5 linked regions of the Canis lupus familiaris genome follow. The protein of the gene in region 4 purifies or fractionates together with the protein of the main gene of each other region. This does not show direct contact. Links are inferred from orthologs where the notes say so. Each region holds a gene or a part of one and is shown on either strand. Other genes may lie near its edges.

Region 1 (4,802 bases), on a different chromosome or scaffold from region 4:
TTACTGACTGTTCAGCAAATTGTTTGCCAGATAACTCAAATTTTGTGTTACTTAGAAAATTACACAGGTCTGCTTACAGTTTATTAGCAATTTCAATTATAATCAGCAGTTTGGGTAGGTTTAGTAATCTGAAATCTCTGGGCAGAGCCACTAGATCTTCACCCACACCAATTTTTTCTTTATTCAAACAAGAAGGCGGCAAATGGGGAAAAACAAAAACAAAAAAAAACTCACAGATCTTCAAAACTAAGTTCCAAGTATGACTTTATAAAAATGATGTTTAAAATCACATATGATAAGCATAATTTTCTGCAACATATATGAAAGCCTCTTCTAATGTTTTTTATCACATACCCACAGTGGGCCAAGTAAAGGGCGATGTCCAATCTGTTCTCAGCAAAAATGTCACTAAAAACATTAGCATATCCACATTTAGACTCTTGCCATTTGCCTCTAACTTGGAAGCAATCTAATTAAAATTATTTATTCTGCAATGTTACCATGCCATCAACCCTTGCATTTCTCATTACTTCAAATTCCTTTATCAATCCTATAAGGTTGGTGTTATTATTGTCATTTAGATCTTATGAAAACTAAGCACTAAAAAATAACTTGTCCTAGGATGCTGAGCTAGTTAGAGTTTAAGCCTGGGAACTGGTACCCACATATCTGCATGATTCCAAAGTCCTTTGTCTCTAAGTCCCCCACTAGCTGGTCCCAAACCTTTCTCGTGAGGCTTCAAATCATACTCATTCATAACAGAATTAATCACAAATAGAGTCATATTAGGTTTCTTTCACTTCTTTAGTGTTTTTTTTTTGTAAACAATGTCAATCCTAAATGCAATCTCATCTCCTCCGCTTCCTGAATCACTCACAAAGCATTAAATAAATCATAAAAAAAAATTGCTCATTTTTATAATTCGAGTATTTCCAATTTCATATCCTTCCTCTCTTGGAGTGGGTGAGGGGAAAGACCTTACCCTGTAGCATATGCTTCTCTGCTCACAATATACTCTCCTGAGTTTTACTCTATCACCCCAGAGCCTGCGTCCATTCTATGCCACAGGTGGTTCTCCCAGCGGCAATTGCTCAACTTTAATGACAATGAAATCAGGATCTTTTTTTTTCTTTACAATGGTTTAAGTGACTGTGTTAATATGTTTTGCACAACACAGAGATGACTTCTGGATCCCTTCCAGCTCTAAAACACTCCAAGAGTATATGATTCAAAGTAACTCAAGAAAATATCCTCAGCATACAGGGAGTCCTACGTTCTATTTTTTGTAAAGGCCATGTCATTACTTTTTTTTATAAACTATGTTATCCTAGCAAATTTAAAGTCTGTGGTTTTATTTCTCATTCCTATCTAACAACATTCATGTCTTCTAAATTGTTCAATCTAATAATACGTTCACCTTATTTTGTATTCTTTGCTAATATCATCACTTAGGAAACTTAGAACCTGTTACCATCAAGTTCCATACACAGTAAAAGAAAATAAAATGTTCCAGCTCCAAGATGGCTGCCTTTTAGGATTTAAAAGTATAAACTGAATTCTACAGTCATTAACAGGAATTCACTCATTATTAAACCACCCACTCTCAATATACAGTAAATAATAATACATTTAATTTTTATCATAATGGTGTATGTCCTTTAGAATACCTGAAAAGATTGCAGCAATCTACAGAAATTAGGGCTGTGTGCAGGGATTTTAAGGGGCTATAGTGCTGCTCCTCAGCATTAACAAACACTGAACGCCAGCTCTTGTGGGTTATTCCATTCTTTGCATCCAGAAATTACCAAACCTGCAAAAATGTCATGTGATTTTAGGGGGGAAAAGTCCATTTCCTACATCGGGAGCCATAGACCTTCAGAAGATGGGTATCTCGATAGCACGATGACGTCCCATCTTACACTGCTAAGCAGTTGTGCTTCCCGGTGCTCGGGAAAAGAAAGAACAGGAAGGGATGAAGAATTACTGTTTCTTGCATTGCATTCTCTAGCACACTTAGAAAATGACTGAATGTTTAGGATTAAAACCCGACACATCTTATGCCTCCGGCTCACACTGCTGCTGTTCCGCGTTTAAAAAAATACTGGTCAGGTCTTGGGTGTCGAAACCCAGGGATATTCTGGAAGGACCTCGTCGTTCGTCTCCTACCAAGCTTGAGCCTCACCAACCCCTTCCTTCCAACAGAGCTGGCAAAGTCCCATTTCTGAGAAGGGTGAGTCATAAACCATAGCGAATCCACAAAAACTGACCCCCCCCCCCCCCGCCCCCCGAGCTCAATAAAAGGCAGAGGCAGGGAGCGGAAGGCCGGGAGAGGAGGAGGAGGAGGAGGAGGGGAGGGGGCCACGTGCGCGCCAGGCCGCGCAGGGCCAACCCCCGCAACCGCCGCAACCGCAGCTCCCGACCCGCGCTTCAAGGCCCCGCGCGCAGACCCTGAGCACCCGACCCCGCGCTCCCGCCTCAGGGGGCACCGAGGCGGCGGCAGGCTGCGGCGCAAGGGCCAAGCCACAAGGCCGGGCTTCCGCAGAGCGCGCCCAAGTACGCTCGCTCCCGTGCCCGAGCCTGAGCGCCTGGAACGAGGCGGCGGGGGGCAGGGCTGGCGTCCGAGGAGGGCGGCCCCGGCGCCCCCGCCCCCTCGCCCCTCCCCTCCCGGGGCACCGACCTCCGCTCCGCCCGGCGCCCCCGCCTGCCCCACCCGCTCGCCTCCCACCTACGCTCGTCCCCGTTCCCCCCGGACACCCAGTTCCCCCCGACACCCGGTCCCCCCCGACACCGGTTCCCCCCGACACCGGTTCCCCCCCGATACCGGTTCCCCCCAGACACCAGGACCCCCACGACACCCGGTTCCCCCCCCGACATCGGGTCCCCCCCGACACCCGGTCCCCCCGACACCGGTTCCCCCCCGACACCCGGTTCCCCCCACGACACCCGGTTCCCCCCCCGACATCGGGTCCCCCCCCGACACCCGGTCCCCCCGACACCGGTTCCCCCCCGACACCGGGACCCCCACGACACCCGGTTCCCCCCCGACACCGGTTCCCCCCCGACACCGGTTCCCCCCCGACACCCGGTCCCCCCGACACCGGTTCCCCCCCGACACCGGGACCCCCACGACACCCGATTCCCCCCCGACACCCGGTTCCCCCCCGACACCGGGTCCCCCCGACAGCCGTCCCCGCCCCCCGCAGCGGCCCCGCGGCCCTCCCCGCCGACTCACCTGGTCCCCCCCACGTTCAGCTGCACGATCTCGGCGCTGCCGGCCGCCGCCGCGGCGAAGCTGCCGCAGTGCCCTCCCGCCATCTCCGGCGGCTCCGGCCGCGCACGCCGCCCGCCCTCCCCGGCCGGGGCCGTGGGGCCCGAGGCGGCGGCGGCGGCGGCGGCGGCGGCGGCGGCGGGAGCCCGAGGCGGCGGCGGGGGCGGCGGCGGCGGCGGGGGCGGGGGCGGCAGGGCCAGCGGGGCGGCGGCGGCGGCCGGAGGGCGGGAGGGGCGCGGGGCCTCCCCCACCTTCGCGGCGGCGGGGCCGAGCTCCCGGGCGGCCGCCTGGTCCCCTCCGCTCCCGCGGCGCCGGGGGGCGGCCCGGCCTCCGCCTCTCCCGGCCTCCAGGCCGCAGGGCCGGCGCGGGCCTGTCCTAGCGCTCGGCAGCCGCCGCCGCCGCCACCGCCACCGCCACGGCCACCGCCACGGCGGCCGCCGCAGCCGCAGCCTGCGCGGGACGAGGGGTCGCCGCTGGGGACAAAACACCGCCGCGCTCAGCGCTTCGCCCGCGGCGGCGGCAGGAAGGGCGGGGAGGAGCTTCGCGGCCGCGGCGCGCGGGGACGTGGGGAACGAGCTGCGGCCCCCCTGCCCCCTGCCCGCCGCCCCGCGGCCCCCCGGCCCCCCGACCCCCTGCCCGCCGCCCTCCTCCAGCGGCCCTCCTGGCCCCACGTGGCTCGGGACGTGGCGGCGCGGTGCCCGGGAGGTGGTGCTCGGTGCCTCCGCCTCCGCCTCCGCCTCCGCCTCCGCCTCCAGAGCCCCGCCGGGCAAAGCCAATGCAACCTGGGGGTTTTGTAACTTTTTTTTTTTTTTTTTTTTACAGCGTTTACCTGAGAGAATTCCCTACCGTGTTACTCCCTCAGCCTCAACCCGGGTCCCCCAAGCAGTTTTGTTCCTTGCTTTGCCAGGCAGGGAAGGGAAGGAAGCCGAGGGCAAGCGAGGAACCCCCCGTAGCCCGTGCAGGGCAGTGCGTCTCTGGGATATAGTAAGCGTTCAAAGTAGGTCACACACCTGAAACATATATATATATATAATATAAATAAATGTCTGCTTTCGGTAGTATATGTATTGGAACCTGAAAACGTGGAGGCTGCTGAAGCGCGATTTAAAAAATCCTCACACAAGGAGGGGTGCCTGGCGCCATCTGCGGGGTTGGCAGGGTCAAGCCCCACCTTAGGCATAGAGGTTACTTAAAAATTGAACCTTCCCAAAAATAAAACCTTAGGGACGTGGGTGGCTCAGCGGTTAAGCACCTGCCTTCAGCTCAGGACGTGATCCTGGAGGCCCGGGATCGAGACCCACGTGGGGTTCCTTGCAGGGAGCCTGCTTCTCCCTCTGCCTGTGCCTCTGCCTCTCTCTCTCTGTGTCTCATGAATAAATGCATAAAAATCTTAAAAAAAAAAAAAGAATCAGCACTATAATACCTGATGTCAGCTAACAGAGGCGGTGCACCACGTTCCAGAGCTCATTCATCCATAGTACTGACCTGCCTTGAAAAGTAACAGGCCCAACAGGGAGTCGCTTTTGCTAAGCCC
Region 2 (4,858 bases), on a different chromosome or scaffold from region 4:
CCCCTCCCCCAGGCTGGCTGCCCCAGCTTCCCAGGGGACCGAAGCCTACCGGAGGGAGAGGGAGGGGCTCTTTCATCCAGCATTCGGCCCAGCAGCCCTGCATTGCCCAGGTTGGGGGGCATTGTGTTGCTGCGTCGAACGGGGGCTGGGCGTCCCCCTAACTGCTGGGGCCCCACCAGGCTGTGCCGGTTCCGCCGCTTTGCTGGAAACACTATGGCAGGGAGAAGGAGCAGAGTGACAATGATTGTAATAACTGTAGCAATTGCCACGTCACAAGCACCTAAAATATGCCAGATACTGACTTGCCCACATGTGGGGCACAGTCTCCTGCCAAAAAGATTTTAGGTGGTGTGGGGACACGGCGGGCAACGAACGACACTGAATCACACAGCAAGCTACTCCCTTTTCTATTCCTCTGAGCTGCACACAAAGGACAAATCAGCTTGGTGCTGCCAAAACAGTGCTCCCTTTTCAGTATTTGCTTTAAGAAATGGAAGCCTACCTCGTTGGCAGGCAGCAGCATCCCAACACTGGTATTTGGAGATTTTCTTTTCTTTTTTTGAAAGATTTATTTATTTGAGAGGCAGAGAGAGCGTGCACAAGTACAGAAGAGAGGAAGAAGCAGACTTCCTGCTGAGCAAGGAGCCTGACGCAAGCTGAAGGCAGATGCTCAACCAACTGGGCCACCCAGGAGCCCTGGGGATTTTATATTCACGTTTACTTATTCAAGGTATAAAGGTAGTGATAAAAAGCTTCTATTTAAAATGACTTTTGTACAGGGCACCTGGCTGGCTCAGTTGGAAGAACCTGAAACTCCTGACCTTGAGGTTGTGAATTTTGAGCCCCACATGGATTATAAAGATTACTTACAAAAGTAAACTTTAAAAAATGACTTTTTAGGGGCACCTGGGTTTTTTCAGTGTTTGAATGCCTGCCTTTGGCTTGGGTCATAGTCCTGGGGTCCTGGGATGAGTCCTGCATCAGGCTTCCCGCAGGGAGTCTGCTTCTCCCTCTGCCTCTGTGTGTGTCATGCTCCCCCAAAGCCCCACGAGCTCATGAATCGATAAATAAAATCTTTATTTAAAAATTTACTTTTATTAAAAAAAAAAAGACTTAAAAAAAACCCAACACAGTAAAACTAAGAAAACAAAAGCACAGATCTCCGTATTTGACAAACATCATGAAGGTATTGAGCAAGGTTAGGGAAGTAGTTGTAAGTCGAATTTCCCCATTTTATTCCTTTTTCTCATCAGCAAAGCCTCATAGACTACAGTTCCCAATAACCACTGGGGTATATTGTCCATGGCCAGCTGGGGTTGCGGGGGTTGCTGATCTAACGTCCCATGAAGATTCTAGTCAATAACCCCCCCTTTATATTTCTCCCCTCCCTGCAAAGGACCCCATTTCTTCCTAAGCTTCCCCACAAGGAAATCAAACCTGGACTGAGACCCCCTTCAGGCTCTAGGGCACACTTCTGAGCCTCAGGGCAGGTAGCTGGCCCACTGACTGCCTCATTGGAAATGCAGTCTCCTACTTCCTTTCCCTCAATCCAGCCTCTGATATAGAACTACAACTCCCATAGTGTCTCAGGGCTCACAGCACAGGCGACCAAGGGCCTCGACCTTATGGGAAATGTAGTCTTCCATCAGCCCTCCCTCCCCTCCATCCCTTAGTTGTGCCCACCTGGTGGAGGCAGGTAACCATTGAAGAGAACGTTTCCACAAGAAGATCGGTCCAACTCCTCCCGCAGCTGCAGGCGGCGAACTGAGGCGGAATAACTCGAAGGCTGGGACTTGGGGAGTACTGAGGCACATCCTATCCCCCTCCCCAGCTCATTCTACACCCATCCCCCTTGAGACCCAGGACCAAATCCAGTGCTCTCAGCGCTACCCCTAACTTCTTTCAGGAGAGAAGCATCAGGAGAGCAGGAGTTCGTTTTCTATGCAATGAGGAAGCTAATGGGGCCCCCCACTTACCCAGAGGAGTGAGCCCATAGAACTGGGCTTCGTGGAGGAGGCTGGAACCATGAACACCCCTGAGTAGCAGAATTCACCAGGGGTTAGAGTTTGGGGAGTGGGAGTTGGTCGAGAATTCTGAGGAGGAAGCTTTCAAAACTGCACAGAGAATTGCAAGAGGTAGCAAATTTTGACTGGATCAAGATTCTAAGGAGCGATGAAATAGATGGGCAATGAAAATGTGTGTGTGTGTTTGGGTTAAACTCTAAGGACACAATTCAAATCGGATTGAGGGGCTTAAGGGAACATTCTGAGGGTAAGAAGATGAAGACGGTGGGGTCCCTCTATCCCCATGCAGACCTGGGATCCAACTCTTTGGTGCGCAGGAAGTTGAGGATGGGGGCGAAGACGGTGGGGTCCCTGTCGATGAAGATCTGCGGGGAGGGAGGCAGAGGATGGATGGGGCAGAGCGGGGCTGAGTGAGGCTCCAGTCCCTCCTCCTACCCACTGCCCTATTTAAGCTCTATGCCCTACTCACGGCTCCAGTCTCATCTTTCAGTGTTGAGATGCGTCCGCTCAGAAGACTGTAGGGAGGGGACACAGAGCAGGTGTCACGGGCCAGGGTGTGTGTGGGCGCACGGGGGGTCGGGGGGAGGGTGAGTGGGGGGATTAAGTCTCCCCATACCGTCTCTTCCCGCCACCCACAGCCCGCCCCAAATTCGCTCTCCCGGTCACCTGGAGAAGAAGGAGTCTGGGATCCAGGTGAGAGTCTGGCGAGAGGTACTGAATCTACGGGGGGAAAGTGAGCGGACGCGAAGGGTTGGAGGAAGAGTAAGGAACGCGGCCCCCTACCCTCCCCGACTCCCCCCCAACCCGGCCCTCCTCGGGCGTCAGTCCGGGCACTCGCGCCTTCAGCAGGAGGCGGAGCAATCCTTGATGGACAAGGATTCCCCGCGGGAGAGGCGGGTACTCCCACTCCGCTCCCCGCCCCCGAGGTGGGGGCCTCAGGAATCTCCTACACTCACCTCTTGCCTCCCACGTTCAGATGAATCACCTCCCCGGGAGGCCCCCGACCTGGGACTCCGTCGGCTGCAGGCGCCGCGGCTGCCATGGCCCCGGGGCGAGCCGGCCGGCCAGCACCCGCTTCCGGGTCTGTACTTGGGCCCCGCCCCCACTGCCTGCTCATTGGCCTGGAGCCTCCCGGAGCCGCCGGCGATTGGACAAAGCGCCCACTCGTAGCAGTTAATTCTCCGCCTCCTTAAAGGGCCCCGCCTTTCCTGTGCTGGACGGGGCGTACCGCAAGGCCCCTTTGGGGAAGTTTAGATAGAAGGGCCAGCAAAACATTCCTCTAGCCTTCTGGTTCCCAATTTTAGAATCTAGGTGTTTCGTGAGGGACGTGTGTTTAAATCCCGAAATTAGTACACATCAAGAGAACATCTAAAAGTTCTCTGCTGCCATTAGTCTTTCCCTGCGCCGCCCCCCTCTCCCCCGCCCCATACATCCTCGCAGGCGCGGCCCATTAAACGCGAACAAACCGGCATAGACCGTCAAAGCCAAAGGATTTATTATAGGTACATACAGTGTGCGCCTGCCACACCGCCCCACACCCCCAGGCCCCAGCGGCTCCTCCAGGCGACCATGGGGGCTGCCACAACCCTGTTCCCCCACTCCCTAGGGAGGTGCTCCGGCCAGAAGCATGCAGGGGGGAGGGCTTCCTCTCGCCCCTCCCCTCACCAAGTGGCATTTACAGCTGGAGGGGGGAGGAGAGAGGAAGACAGTTTTGAGCTTTGACGCCCCTCCCATTAAAAAGCCTTCGCGGATGCGGGGCGGGGGGGGGGGGGGGAGGAGGTCGACGTTTTGCAAAAATAAACTAAGTCAGGAATTAACCGCATGGCTCTGAGACGGCGGAGTGCAGGGGCCAAAGCCCCTTCACTCCCCCTTCCCAGACAGAGATCAAGGCAGCATTGGAAGTGAGGTAAAGGCGGGGAGGAGGCGTCCCCTCCCCACCCCCTAGCACCCTGGATGGTCCAGGGGACCTCACCAGCGGCCCCATGCCCATCCCTAGGGCGGAGAGGGGGGCAGGAATTATCGCCCCCTACCACCCCAGCTTCTTGGGGCAGGATCTGGAGATCCGGGCAGGGGGCTTGGCTCAACTGGCCCCTTTACCCGCCCCCTCCAACTCAGTTATTGCATAAAAATAATGGAGCCCCAGCACCTGGGGTGGGGTGGCGAGCAGGAAGGGGCCGAGATATGGCTATAGGGGCAGCAATCCCCCCACCACTTCCTGGAGTGCAGGAGAAGTCCCCTCCTTTCCAGTGCCCATCTTGGCGCGTCCGCAGTGTTGGTGGAACTAGAGGCGCCCGCCCCTGCGGAAGAGAAAGTGTCTTTTTGCCCACAGTGCGGCGAGAGGGGCGGGGATGTGTGTCAGGCCCAGAAGGTGGGAAGTCACTTCCTGCGCCCGCTGGCCCTCCGCTCCCCCGCCTCTCGCTTGGGGTTGCCTTCGTCCGTGGAGGACGTGGTGGGTAGTGTCTGTCCCCAGCGGGCGATCTCAGCGTGCTCGCCCACGGAAGCGGCCACGGCCTCCAGCCAGCCGTTCATCTCCTCCTGGAGAGAGAAACAGGGCAACAGAGTCCGCTTTTGGAAGAAGGGAGACCGCGCAATAGATGACCCTGGAATCCGACTGCCCTCTGAACTTCAGTTTTCCAATCTATTAAATGGGTTAATAATAATAACCCAAACAGTTACATAGCCCCTAATATGTGCCAGGCTCTGTTCTAAGTGCTTCTGTGGATTAATTCTCTTAATCCTGTGCAATAGCATTATATCAAATTCCCACTATAGAGATAAACATAACAACCAACAACATCAGCAGAGATTTATAGAGCACTGATATTCGCCAGGTC
Region 3 (4,308 bases), on a different chromosome or scaffold from region 4:
CGGACCCTGCAGTGGGGGACGCGGGGCACCCTGCAGGTGAGCAGGCAGGAGGGGCTGGGACCCACCATCTGGAGGAGTCTGGCACCAAGGCTCTCTGCGGTCCCATCTGTGCCCCAAAGACGCTCTGTCGGGGCCACAGAAGGAAGCTGCGACAAGAACCTGCCTTGTTAGGAAGTGGGGGCTCGGAAAGGACTGCCATCCCGGAGGGAGGGGGAGAGGCACAGGCTTCCTGCATGATGTCACCAAGTGAGGGCTTGGGCGGGGGGGTGCTTCCCAGGCTCTGCTGGCGCAGTGGCCTGTTCAGGCTCACGCGGGGCAGTTACGAGGAGGGGAGCACATGGGTGGGGGAGTCAATTCAAGTAAAAGTAAACGGGGGCAGGAGGACAGAGGCGGCAGGAGGCGAGAGCCAAGCCCTCCCCCACCCGCAGGACCCCGCGTCCCCCGCCGCTGCTGCTCAGTCACACCGAGGTCTCAGACTGCAGCCTCATGACAAACTTGTGTGACTTGGGATCCACAAACTCCTCCGAGAGTTTGAAGAACGGGACCTTCTTGGTGCTCACCACCAGGCTGAAGTCCTGGCGTTTTAAGAGGAAGACGATGCCGTCCTTGAGCCCGTTGGTCACGGGCTCCTCGCTCACCAGTGTCCACTGCTTGGCCAGCCAGCGTTCCTTGTGGTACTGGATGGTGGGTCCGGCCGCCAGGTACCGCTCCAGGAAGGCCTGAGGACAGGTCAGGGACTGCGTGGGCATCTCTCCCGGCCACCCGCCACCCTCCGCCCCCCGGAGGCACAGCTTCCACACCATCTAGAACATCAGAGCAGGAAGGGGCTGAGCTCATCTGCTTCAGACCCTTGTTTTGAACGTGGGGAAACAGAGCCCATGGAGAATGGGGGTGCCACGGGGTCAGGACATGCGTGCCGGCACGTGCCCCGCACCAGGCCAGGACCCCAGGCCCCCCGATTCCATTCTGCTCTCATGGAGGCCGTCACCCTGCTCACCAAGCGGTTGGGGATGCAGTTCTGGGAGGCTGACAATCAAGAGCAGGTGAAGGGGCAGAGGGGGAATTTTGGGGGCGGCAACCGCAGACCCTTGCAGAGATGGGGACCACGTCTCAGCCATTCCCAGGAGAACCTGGAAGCTGCCCCTGCTCATCACCCAGGAACCTGACTCAGAGCAGAGATCAGGGGGGCAGGGATGAGGAAGAGACCACAGGGGGAAGGGAGAGAGAGGGGTGGGGGGGGGGAGAAGGCAGGGCTGCAGGGCGGGGGCAGTGAGACCACGGCGGACCGGGGGCGAGGCGGGATGCTGGCAGCACAGCAGGCCTACCTTGGGCGTCATGTCGTGAGTGATGCAGAACTCGAGATGCTGCAGGATGCTCTCCATGGTGTGGTAAGGCTGCTGCTTGGTGGTGCGAAGGTACTTCTGCATGGCGCGGGCCATGGAGGCAAAGATGGCCTGGGCTGCCTCCCGGGGATCCATCACCTCCCTGGGGTTCTTCTGCTCCTCTTCCTGCAGCCGCTTGATGTGAGTGAAGGCCTCCTCCACTGCCACCACAAGCCTGGGGGACAGGAGGGGCCTGGACCAGACGCCCACCCCCATCGTTCCCTCGGCTCCCACCCCCCAGCAGCCCCCCTACTCCCGAAATAACACAAACCCACCTGGAGCCAAGGGCTGGGCTATGGGGGCTGGTGCGGGGACGCAGGTGCATGTGCATGGGGGAGGGGCAGTAAACAGCTGTAGACTCGGGGAGCCCGGGTACAGGGGCCCAGCGTCACACCGAGGCGGCAGGGACCATGCTCTGCGACAGAGCAGCACAGCCTCACCTGCAGACCCCTTCCCACAGGAGACCCCAAACCGCGCACACCCCGGCAGCGGAGGCAACGTTAACATCCGGCGGGGGGAGGTGGTTATGCTACTAACTGACGACACACTGGGAAGCAGAAGGCGAGAACGCTGCAGCAGGCGGCCAGGCCGGGCCACCGGTCGTCGAGGCCTGGGAGGGACGCTGCGGCGCACGAGGCCGGCGCGGTGGCCGGTCAGCAGCCGGAGAAGACAAGTGTCCCGTGGCCACCGAGACACGAGGGCGGGGAGCGGCCCTGGAATCCAAGCCCCGCGGGGGGCGCCGAGTGGTCATCGGGAACACCAGGCGGCGACAAGACACCACCGGCCGCATCCCAGGCAACGGGGCAAGCTCACCAACGGCGTTCAGGGAGCAGGGAAAAGTAGCCAGTTCACGTAGAAAGTAGACGGGGACACGGCCGCGTCGGGAACCCCAGGAACCGGGGGACTTCGGGCAGCTGAGGGCAGGGTTCTGGGCGCAGGGCAAGGGGGCCGGGGTGCGGCCAGTGTCTCTGTTATTCTTGAGCTTCCCCTGAGCGTCTCAGTCAACGTCCTTTGGAAAAAACCCTTTCATCTCAGGTGACACACGGGACAAGCTCTCTCCGGGTTACAACCCGGGTAAGAGGGGAAGGAAGCAGACCCCAGAGAGCACTGGCAACGCAGGGGACCCAAAACCCCTGCCTGGGGTCAGGGTGAGGGGGGCGTGCGCGTCTCTGGGCTCCTTCCCACCAGGCCCCCTTCTGAGGCAACCGGAGGCAGAGAAGTGACAGCTCCTCACGGGGGGACAGGGACGGGATACCGTCCTCCCTTGCAGCCTGGAGGCGTGGGCAGAGGGGCAGCAGCGGCGACGGTCAAGGCCTGGGGCCCTCTCCTGCCGAGGCCCGTGGAAATCGCCACAGGCCACGAGGGACCGGGCAGCAGCATCACCAGGAGACTCTTCAGGCGACTGACGTGCGCAGGATAACGTGAACGGAAGCAACGTGACGGTGTTTAAGAGGCACCGGGACGGAGCGCCGCACCCTCATTTTCCACAGGCCGGGAGCAGCGTCCCGCGTGGGGTGGGGGGTCTGGCCGCAGCCCCTGTGCTGCAGGAGAGGCTCCTGCAGTTCACCGGCTCCCGGCGGCACCCAGAATTCTAGAACGTTCCCTTCATTCACCGCCAGCACATTCCCAGCGCCCGGCTACTCCGCTAACTCGGTACATTTTGCAGATACAACTCAAGCGCCCAACCAGCGGACTCGGACTTGTCGCCGGGGAGATGACCGTGGCCTGCGTGGCCTTCTCACAGGAGACCTTGAAACGCAGTTTTCTCCAGGTGTTACGAAGCCAGACAGCCCTGCTCTGGCTGGGAAAAGCGAACTGCCCATGGGGCCAGCGACCCGGAATGACAGCGCCAACGGCCGGGGAGCTTGGGAGGGCACCGGCTCCGAGAGTCGTCTGCATTTCGGCCTGCGACGCTGAGCGGAGGGCCCAGCTGAGCCGGGCCTGCCCCGTGGGACCTGAGCTGAAGAGCCTGCTGTGCAAGAGCGCCCAGCTCCTGGGACTTAGGGCGGCCACAGGACGCGGATGCACGCATCGCACCCCATCATGCTTGCTCACCTGCCCCCCGCAGTCACGGGGCCCCGCAGCAGTGCCCCCGCCCCCGCCCGGCCCAGGGACCCACCTGGCCCTCCGCTTGCGCACCCTCCGCTCGTGCTCGGCCTCCTCGTAGTAGTACTCGTTATGGCTGTTGTCCCGCCTCCGAGCCGCGGCCGCGATCACGGCCCGGGACTGGCCCGTGGAGTTGTTGGTGCTGTTCTCTGTGCGGGAGCAGGAGACACGGACAGGGTCACTGCACCGCAGGCTCACTTCCCATCCCGGGGAGTCCAGGGACAGCAAACTGACACACCCAGAGGACGCTGTGCCCGCCTCCTGCCATACGTCCCATTCCCAGCCCTCCTGGTCAGCACAGGCCCACAGGCCAGCAACAGGGAAGGCGAGAGGGCAGGAGGCCCTGGAGCTCAGAGAGCTGAGGGCTTAGGATGGGGGCTGGTGAGCGGACGCAGAGAAGCCAGATTGGGGGAGGGGGCAGGTGGCACAGCATCAAGGGACAGGGAGCAGAACCAGTAGCTGACCTCAGTCACCTGGAGTCAAGGGGAAGGACAGAACAAAAGGAGGGGGGGAAGGCCAGAGGAGGTGGAGAGAACAGGGAGCAGGGACAGAGCCCAGCTCACGGGGATGGACGGACAGCCGGAAGCCGGAGAGCCGGGCAGGGCAGGGGAGCCGGGCCGCTCACCCTCTCCGAGGGAATACACCTTGAAGCCAGACACTTTCTTGGCCAGTACGGACTTGGGCAGGTTGAGGAGGGCGGGGTTGTAGACAGGGAAGTCATGGTAATACTTCTCCAGGATCCACACGGCCACGCGCTGGATGCTGTGGGGGAGACGGCAGGGGGTGGGGGACAGACAAGGGGGGCCGGGGGAGGGAGACA
Region 4 (4,926 bases):
TTCATGAGAGACAGAGAGAGAGAGAGAGAGAGAGAGGCAGAGACACAGGCAGAGGGAGAAGCAGGCTCCATGCAGGGAGCCTGATGTGGGACTCGATCCTGGGACTCCAGGATCACAACCTGGGCCAAAGGCAAGCGCTAAACCACTGAGCCACCCAGGCTGCCCTATTTTGAATGTTTTACATAAATGGAATCATACAATGAGTGAACTTTGTGTCTAGCTTCTTCTAAGTAATGCAGAATTTTTGAGGCTCAGCTGTGGTGGTGGCAGTGTTAGAAATTCATGCCATTTTTTAAAACAAGATTTATTTACTCACAAAAGAGACAGAGAGAGAGAGGCAGAGACACAGGCAGAGGGAGAAGCAGGCTCTCTGCAGGAAGCCCGATGCAGGACTCGATCCCAGGACCCCGGGATCATGCCCTGAGCCAAAGGCAGATGCTCAACCACTGAGCCACCCAGGTGCCCTTGAAATCATTTCTTTTTAATGGCTGAATAGTATTCCATGGAATGAATATACCACATTTTGTTTCCCCATTCACCTATTGATGGTGGACATTTGGATTGCTTCCATCTTTGGCTATTGTAAATAGTGCAGCATATACATGTGTTTGTCTAAGTACCTGTTTTCAATTCTTTTGGGTATAGGCCTAAAAGTGGAATTGCTGGGTCACATGATAATTCGATATTTAATGTTTTGAGGAACTGCCAGACTGTCTTCCTCTCCTTTCTCTTGTGTTTCAATAGCACCATATATTCAGGTGAATTTCTGTCATAGTACAATTAGAAGATGCCTTTAATCATAACAGGCTAGGGATCCCTGGGTGGCACAGCGGTTTGGTGCCTGCCTTTGGCCCAGGGCGCGATCCTGGAGACCTGGGATCGAATCCCACATCGGGCTCCCGGTGCATGGAGCCTGCTTCTCCCTCTGCCTGTGTCTCTGCCTCTCTCTCTCTCTCTCTGTGACTATCATAAATAAATAAATTAAAAAAAATTAAAAAAAAATCATAACAGGCTATATACGTATCTGAGAGCAGGGATTGTGTCTTCTTCATCTGTGAATCTCAGGGGGGCCTAGGACTTCATGGAGAAGGTGCTCAGTAAAATGTTTGTGGGATCCCGGGGTGGCTCAGTGGTTTAGCGCCTGCCTTTGGGCCAGGGCTTGATCCTGGAGTCCCGGGATCGAGTCCTGCGTCGGGCTCCCTGCATGGAGCCTGCTTCTCCCTCTGCCTGTGTCTCTGCCCGCACAACCCCCCACCCCCGTGTCTCTCATGAATAAATAAATAAAATCTTAAATAAAATAAAATATTTGTGGAACTGGATTGACTCTAGGAGGACTAAATACAGTTTTATCCTTGAGGAAAATGTGGTGTATGCGGTAAAGCTTTGAATATGAGTAACGAGCTAAGTGGAGATGGAGAGTGGGTGAGGTGAAGAAGAGCCTGCCGACTCCTTTGGACAAGGGGAAGGGAACACCAGTGTAGTAGAACCAGTTAGAACCAGTCATCCATATGCCTGGCGTCTATTGCTGATTTGCCTTTAGCTAACTCATTATAATTCTCTGGCAAGTTAGAGTCCTTTCTCGGTCGAATGAAAAGGTTGCATATTTTAGTGATACTCAATTTTTTGGTTTCCTTTAAAGCAATGGGCACTGTTTTTCCTGTGAACTCAATGGGGTTGGGGTACCCCTTTGAGGAGACAGAGTTGAGAGGGAGGCCAGAATGCAGGGCACCCTCTATTCCTGCAGCCCCAAGGACCTTGGCAAGACCCCAAGATCCCAAGGTGCCAGCACATTCTGAGCTCCCCTCAGTAGCTGTGAGAGACCTCTGTTCCACAAAGATTAGGAAAGCATTTGTGCACCCGGTACATATTATTCTGTAAAAAAGTTTTCTCCCCCCCCCCCCCGCCCCCAAGCAATAAAGGGGAACTTAAGGATGGAGGCAGCAACGTGAGCAAAGAACAAAAGGTCTTTCTTTATGAAAAGTTCTAGTGAGTAGCGCGCTTGATTAAAAAGAGGGTATCCCACCTCCTTCTCACCTCCTCATCCTGAAAAAAGGAAGAAGCAGAGCTACTGGCGGTTGACTTCGTGACAGAGTTGTCACACAGTTTACATTCCTAACCGAACGGATTCCTGCACCATGAGAGCATTTCCTCTGAAAAATGTCCTGTTCTGAACCAAAGCCGAGCACGTCAAGGGCAGGCTTCGTCTTGTCCTAACCCTCCGAGTTTCCTTTTCTTTCTGTCTCTCTCGCTTTCCTGGGGGGAAAATATCTTAAAAGCAAGTGGGACATTTACACTGCACCCTCGCGTTGCCTTTTCTCTGCTTTTGAGTGAGCCCCTAAAGTCAGGGGTTAGCTGGGTCCCCCCCCCCCCCCCCCGCCCCCGACCGTTTCCTGCCACGCCTGTGGCGCTGGCAGGCCGCAACCTGTCCCCTGGGCAATGGTCACTGCTGACACTCGCCTTGCTTTGGCCTCGTCCGGTTCTTTATTGCTGTGAAGCTCATTTGCAGGCCACACTGCTGAAAAGACACCGCCTGAACTTCCACATCTCTTCTCCTCTTTCAGGTTGAGGCACAGAAGTTACTCAGGCACTGAGATCGAAGATGGTTTACACAGATGTCTGACTTAGCCCAGCACACACGAGGTTCTTAACGTTAACATTCCTACCGGCTGTCATGGAAACATGGTTTGAGCAGTGCGACCACAAACGTTATTCCCATTATTCCCATTCTAGCATTAACTCTTTCTTTCTTTCTTTCTTTCTTTCCTTCCTTCCTTCCTTCCTTCCTTCCTTCCTTCCTTCCTTCCTTCCTTCCTTCCTTCTTTCTTTCTTTCTTTCTTTCTTTCTTTCTTTCTTTCTTCTTTCTCCTTTTCTCTTGTGAGGCTTCCCTTGAAATCCTAGAACTTCTCTGGAAACAGACCTTCTAAACCATGACCCCCCTTTGGGTGGCAAAGCCCTATTATAAAAATAGAAAGGATATTCAGTTTTATTAGGCCTCTGGTTTTCCTTGCTTGACATTTGCTTCCATTCCAGAATGGGCGTGAATGCAAACACCGCAATATTTCCACCATTTCTTTAAATGCTTTGTTTCCAGGAAACTTACGGTTTTCCGGAGAAGGATGCCCGCAGGACGATAATCCCTCTTGCTCGACCATGGTGCCCCGGGACGAAGGGAGCGTGGAATGCCCTAACGCTGCGAGTGGCGCTTCGAGAATGACTTAGAAAGGCCGCAGTCTGTCTGGTAAACCCCAGAACCTGTCTCAGGACTCTTGCCTCGATCGGCTCCCAAAGCATAATGCAACGTGATTATTTTCCTCTGGGGAAACCTGTGAAACAGGTCTTTGAGCTCCATTTAATGTGTCAGAGTTTTAATTGATTCTTTACCTCGGCGATCCACCCCATAATAGCAGCGCTGAGCACAGGACGTGTTTTACGGGAATAGTCACCCAGAGCTTAATTTGTTGTTGCATAGCAGACGGACGATTTCACAATGAAAATAAATCTGTTTCGTGCCCCGAGAATTTCTTCCCGGTGAAGTATGCTCTGTGATGTGGAGAGTGCAGTCCTCGGAAGCCTCCCAGTAGCACTACTGTGGTCGCAGGGAAAACTTGGTCACTGCTCCCTGTGGGCTCTTAAGACCTTTTGGTGGAGGAGAGGGGTACCCCACAACTCTCATCCTTGAGCTCATTTACTCTTGCTTCTTGAATCCCAAGACCGAGGGGATCCACATGTCCTAATTGACAGTCCATGTACAGCAACTTCCTATACCTTATCTCCATCTGTTCTCCTGATAAGAGGAAGGCGGGGCAGATTTCATTATGCCCATTTTACAGATCAGAGAACCGAGTCCTAACGAACCTTGCGACCTGCTCAAGGAACAACAGATAAGCACTGAGCGAGGGCTAGAGAGCAGATACTCTTTTGAGTAATTACTATTTTTCCCTGGAGAACAGCCAGGCCTGCTCTACCAAGGAACTGGCTGCATGCAACACATTTTCCTTCCCCCAACACAATTGGTTCATTCATTCAATCAACAAACATTTGTAGGGAGTGTGACTCTGGGGACTTAGAATTCAGATCTGCCCACAAAGGTGGCTTTCTTCTTCTACAGCTTCAATTGCTTTCTCTCCCAGGCCCTAATTCCTTCTGGTAGTAGAAATTTGTCAATTCTAGGTTTTCTCAGCTGGCTCAGCACTTCCCCAACCCTCCCTTTTTTTCCATGGTTGTATATAAGTTCAAGCCACTGAAAGGAGTGTGTGTGTGTGTGTGTGTGTGTGTGTGTGCGTGTGTGTGTGAGAGAGAGAGAGAGAGAGATGGAGGATGTGTATGGCCTTCAGAGGTCAGAGGTCTTCCCATCCTGGCTGCTATTAAAATGTGTGGCCCGTCTGGTCTTCAGACATTTGGAAAATGCTGGCATTCATTTTTTTTTTTTTTTTGGCATTCATTGTTATGTGGTGTTTTTGTTTGTCGGTTTGTTTAAACGTGATCTTGAGGCATCTGTAGAACTGCTAGCTCTCTTTCTTTCCGCTAGCTTCTGTGTCTTCCTTGTAAGGGAGATGTTTGGTGGCTCTCCTGGGCCACGCAGAGGATCTGGGGAATGCCGGAGGGCTATCTCAGGCCCTCTTGGTCTAGCCTTGTCATATGTCATTTTTGTTCTAAAGTTGCTCCCTCCTATCCTGTGCATGGAGGTGGGCAGAGGAGACTGTTTCCCCATCTCTCCTCAGGTGTCACCTGGTGTGAGGCACAGGTCCCTTCTCCTCCAGGATGTACCAAACCAACCTGGGCTGTACCTGATATCTCTAAGCACAAGCATGCCCCTCACCCCCAGCCGTAGCCCAGGGGAAGGAGGGCAGTGCAATGTGGTGGCTGACAGGAAGCAGATGTAGGGTGCAACTGGTGCTTCTCGGAGACCTAAGCAAAGGCTACAAT
Region 5 (4,308 bases), on a different chromosome or scaffold from region 4:
AGAGCTTGTTTCAATCTTTCCAACTCTAAAATGAAGGGTTAGATGAAAAGGGCTCTAAGATTCCTCAAACTCTGGCCCTGCAAATACCGAGAGGCGTGCGGCTGGTGATACAGAAACAGCCTGCAAAGGAGCAGAGTTGTATCCCCCTCGATCCAGCCACCCACACCAGCAGCCCCTTGGGAAAAGGAAGGAAGAGGCCCAGCATCCATGATGGGAACCAACTCTGTCCACTTCATGTTAACACGATCAGAACCTTAGAACCCACAAGGGCCTGGGGGTGGGCTAGGGGGCTGCTCCAAGCATGGGCCATAGGAAGTCAGCATCAGCTGGGAATCTGTAAGACATGCAAATTCTTGGGCCCAACTCCAGCCCCACTGAATAGTAAGTCAGTCACTTCTGCAGGTGGGGCCTCAGAGCCTCAGATCTGTGCTTTAAGGGACGCGTGGGTGGCTCAGTGATTGAGTGTCTGACTTTGGCTCAGGTTGTGATCCTGGAGTCCCAGGATCGTGTCCCACATCAGGCTTCCTGCATGGAGCCTGCTTCTCCCTCTGCCTGTGTCTCTGCCTCTCTCCGTGTCTCTCATGAATAAATAAATAAAATCTTAAAAAAAAAAAAGATCTGTGCTTTAATAAGCCCTCCTGGTGATGATGGTGCACACGAAACAATCGAGCAGGAACACTTCCAAGGCTCGAGGAGCTCACGTTTATACACTGAGATTTCATTCTAGCAGTAAAAAAGATAAAAAAATCAAAAGTCTGCTACAATAGGGTGTTGGTGTCGGGTGTGGGGGGCAACGCACCTTGCTCTCCGCTTCTTCACCCGCCGCTCATGCTCTGCCTCTTCATAATACAACTCGTTGTGGCTTGAATCTCTGCGCCGAGCGGCTGCAGCGATCATGGCCCGGGACTGACCGGTGGCATTGTTACTGGGGCCTTTGGGGAAGGACAATGGAGGAAGAACAGTTTTAATGCCAAGAGGCTGCAAAACAGCAGGAAACTAGTACCATGGTCTGTTGAGACCATCCACCCACCTTCTGAGAGGCACATACACAAATGTCAAAAGAAACTTCCAAAAGGGTGGATGGTACTCCTGGCTCACATTCGGTATGCTCATGAGAAGGAAATCTCCCCGAAACCCAATTTGATCAGTAGGAATGGAAAAAGAACTCAGAAGGAGATGAAGAATGCCGGACAATGAAAATGTTGGCCAAAGATAACACACAAGAGAATGCTGTAGAGGTTACTCACCATCTGTTACATAAAGCTGCAGTTTGGCCATAAGGGTAGCTGGAACATCACATTTCAGCAACAAGACAATGAGAGAGAATGAGAGGGATGGGGAGAACAAGCACAGAGAGAAAGAAAGTCAGGGGACACAGAGACACTGATTACGCACAGGACAATAAGCCATGCTGGAATGTCACCGGAGTCACAATTTTAATAAAAAAACAAAATACTTGAGGACTTGCAATACGGCACGTCTGTGAACACAGACTCGCAACTCCCCACCCTGGTGCCCTGACCACAGATCACCTTAACTTTTCAGAAGGACAAAGCATATCACACGCTTTCTTCTGTATCAACTATTTGGTTAATGGTTTGGTTTCACCAGTGGGAATTTTCAGTAAGTTTTCAGATCACAGGTGACGTTTACCAACCCTCTGGGAATTCCAACTGAACACACATCTTATAAAGGCCCCCCTCCCGGTCACCCCCACCCTCGCCAAAATGGGGAGGGTATCCTCAGTAAAAATTGACAACCGTCCATTGATCACGTGACTTGCTAACACTATGGTCCTCTTCTAGGCTCTACAGAGCTCTTGCTCTGACCCAAGACACCCAGCAAGAAATGACACTGTGTCCTGTTTCTTGCACTGAACCATCTGATAGCCTGAGATGCAGCTCTCATGTCCTCGGCTTGGCCTCTGGCCTCCTGCCACCCACTCAGCCCCAGCTCCCAGCCAGGATTGAGAAATCCCTGGAAGTATCTCACCAGATGCCTGAGCTACTGAGAGTTACTGACTTCATGGAGCCTTTAAGTAACTGATCCAAAATTTGAAAAGCAGCTTTCCATAGATGTTCCCACCAGGAGGCAGGAAACACACATCACTATTGTTTTCAATCAGAAAACCCCAAAATGAATGAACCTCCCACATGTATAGACTGTAAATCAACATTCCTTTGAAAGTATATTTGCCTGCAGAAAGAAAGAAGGAAAGCAAGCAAGCAAGCAAGCAAGAAAGAAAACAAAAAGGAAAGGAAAGAGAAAAGACAAAAATTGTTCTGAATTGAGAGTGTACCAGAAAGACAGACACTGAGGGGAGGGAAAACAAAACGGACCATAAAATTTAAGTTAAAGAGTCGTCCAACCTGTGCCCCCTACACCCACCAACCACAGACGCCATTTCAAGGCACGTACCATCTACATTGTAGACTTTCAGCCCGGCCATGTGCTTGGCTGCTCGGAATTTGGAGGCTGTTAGGAGATTGGGGTTATAGATGGTGAAATCTTTATAGTAATTTTCCAGAACCACCAATGCTGCTCGCTGGATACTGAGAAAAGAGAGCAAAATTAATGCAATGCTTTTTCATCGAAGAAGCAGGTCCCAAATGACAACAAAAATAAATCCTCTTTTGGAGGGAGGGAGGGCGGAACACTACTGGTAACCTCCTGTAGTGGCAGGCTCCTGGCTCTGACCATGCCATTTGTCTCCAGGATGAGACTTGAAAGGTGAAACTGAGTTCGGTCATCAAGTGGCTTCTTGGCCTCCTCCCAGGCTATATCCACCTCATCTAGCCAAGAGTTGAGAAAGGAATCAGTTGTAACTTAGGTTTGTTGAGGCCGCACAGAACTTTCCCATTTCTCCCAGTTTACAGAGGAAGAGACGGAGGCTCCCGGAACAGTCAAGAGACCTAAAGATGGTGGCAGGACGAATGGGTGAAAGAACAAAGTGTAGACTCAGGTTTCTCAGGTCCCAGTACAGGGTCTCCTCTAAGCTCCACCCCCGCCCCCCTTTCCCTGTCTCTTGCTGTAAGGAAGGCTGGGTTTTGGGTTCCACAGAGATCAAACTACAACTGTACAGGACACAGGGCAGGGGGCACACGAAAGCAGCTGGCTGTAGACGTTAATGAATCCCGAGGTTCCATCCTCTGGGCTGCCCTGGGCCAGCTGGAGCTCCCTCTTTCAGAGAAAGCAAGACCCCCTTCCGAGCCCTCTGCTGAGATTCTGATCCTTCTTGGTCTGTGAGGCCTTCTGCCTCTAGGACTGTTGTCTCTGGCCCTCAGCTGGGATGAGGGGACACAGGGGACTCTCCTTGCCTTAATGTCCTTGACCTCTGCTGTCACCTGTTTGGCTCCTCAGACAGCAGCAGAGGAACAGAGAATAGGAAACACCAACAGGTGGGAGGGCAGTGGAGGGGGAGCACCCATACTCCCTACTGGCAGCAAAAGAACTCACTCTTGGCCATAGATGTGGGCAACTCACCACTTCGATGAGAAACTTGTACTAATACAGCACGGATTTTCATGCACCATCTTGTCTGACTTCCACAATCATTCAAGGTAAGAAAACTGAGGTTCAGAAAAACCTCTGACCAGCACACAGCATGCATCTACCAAACAGGAGAGCTGCAAGTCCAATCTGGATTTACAAGCCCCCAACCTGCGCTCTTTCCCTGGGATGTGTGACCTCTGTGGGACAGTGTGCATACCGATGCCAACTCCACTCATTTATTTTTATTTATGTATTTATTTTTTAAGATTATTTATTTATTTATTCATGAGAGATACAGAGAGAGGCAGAGACACAGGCAGAGGGAGAAGCAGGCTCCATGCAGGAAGTCCAACGTGGGACCCGATCCTGGGATTCTGGGATCACACCCTGGGCCAAAGGCAGACACTCAACCCCGAGCCACCCAGGCATCCCTCCACTAATTTATTTTTACCTTGCCCTTTATATTTTCCTCCCTAGACCTGCTAAGCAGGTGTGGTTATAAGGATTACTCACAACAGCCTGGGAGCCAAGACGTAGCTGCCTTGGGTTCCTGGATGACCACCCTAACTCTGCATAGCTTGCGGATGTTCACTTTACACTGAGACAATGCAGCCTCTAACCTACTGGCTGGACACGCTGTCAACCCATTGCTCGACTCCTGTCGTTTAGCACGAGATCGAAAAACGATCTAGAAGTCAATCAGCTAACCTCCTCAAGAGCAGTCATGGCAAAGCTTTCTGAGTTACCTCCCACGGTGCCTCGATCCACAGTCTTGCTGCTTAGTACTGGCCTTGACCTGCACACTCATGGGGGGCT

The links.
Region 1: the proteins of PTPN3 (region 4) and KCTD3 purify together in Homo sapiens (affinity purification with mass spectrometry; 4 studies listed by BioGRID and IntAct, with this or other methods). This does not show direct contact. The link is inferred for Canis lupus familiaris from reciprocal best matches to the Homo sapiens genes PTPN3 and KCTD3.
Region 2: the proteins of PTPN3 (region 4) and SHKBP1 purify together in Homo sapiens (affinity purification with mass spectrometry; 4 studies listed by BioGRID and IntAct, with this or other methods). This does not show direct contact. The link is inferred for Canis lupus familiaris from reciprocal best matches to the Homo sapiens genes PTPN3 and SHKBP1.
Region 3: the proteins of PTPN3 (region 4) and VANGL2 purify together in Homo sapiens (affinity purification with mass spectrometry; 3 studies listed by BioGRID and IntAct, with this or other methods). This does not show direct contact. The link is inferred for Canis lupus familiaris from reciprocal best matches to the Homo sapiens genes PTPN3 and VANGL2.
Region 5: the proteins of PTPN3 (region 4) and VANGL1 purify together in Homo sapiens (affinity purification with mass spectrometry; 4 studies listed by BioGRID and IntAct, with this or other methods). This does not show direct contact. The link is inferred for Canis lupus familiaris from reciprocal best matches to the Homo sapiens genes PTPN3 and VANGL1.

What each region holds. Positions count from the first base shown.
Region 1 is NC_049259.1:11,679,171-11,683,972, reverse strand, and holds the start of KCTD3 (BTB/POZ domain-containing protein KCTD3), read right to left. Parts: upstream 3,331-4,802; 5' UTR 3,316-3,330; coding exon 3,233-3,315; intron 2,259-3,232; exon of another isoform or gene 1,668-2,258; intron 1-1,667. UniProt on the Homo sapiens protein: Accessory subunit of potassium/sodium hyperpolarization-activated cyclic nucleotide-gated channel 3 (HCN3) up-regulating its cell-surface expression and current density without affecting its voltage dependence and kinetics.
Region 2 is NC_049222.1:113,947,248-113,952,105, forward strand, and holds the start of SHKBP1 (SH3KBP1-binding protein 1), read right to left. Parts: upstream 3,120-4,858; 5' UTR 3,067-3,119; coding exon 2,981-3,066; intron 2,745-2,980; coding exon 2,691-2,744; intron 2,540-2,690; coding exon 2,494-2,539; intron 2,390-2,493; coding exon 2,316-2,389; intron 2,036-2,315; coding exon 1,977-2,035; intron 1,765-1,976; coding exon 1,684-1,764; intron 212-1,683; coding exon 50-211; intron 1-49. Other genes in the region: SPTBN4 (spectrin beta chain, non-erythrocytic 4), read right to left, coding at 4,401-4,559.
Region 3 is NC_049259.1:22,648,434-22,652,741, forward strand, and holds part of VANGL2 (vang-like protein 2), read right to left. Parts: intron 4,251-4,308; coding exon 4,114-4,250; intron 3,638-4,113; coding exon 3,502-3,637; intron 1,558-3,501; coding exon 1,326-1,557; intron 720-1,325; coding exon 459-719; 3' UTR 1-458. UniProt on the Homo sapiens protein: Involved in the control of early morphogenesis and patterning of both axial midline structures and the development of neural plate. Plays a role in the regulation of planar cell polarity, particularly in the orientation of stereociliary bundles in the cochlea.
Region 4 is NC_049232.1:64,991,951-64,996,876, forward strand, and holds the start of PTPN3 (tyrosine-protein phosphatase non-receptor type 3), read right to left. Parts: upstream 3,219-4,926; 5' UTR 3,153-3,218; coding exon 3,101-3,152; intron 1-3,100.
Region 5 is NC_049238.1:53,739,788-53,744,095, reverse strand, and holds part of VANGL1 (vang-like protein 1), read right to left. Parts: intron 2,553-4,308; coding exon 2,419-2,552; intron 933-2,418; coding exon 800-932; intron 1-799.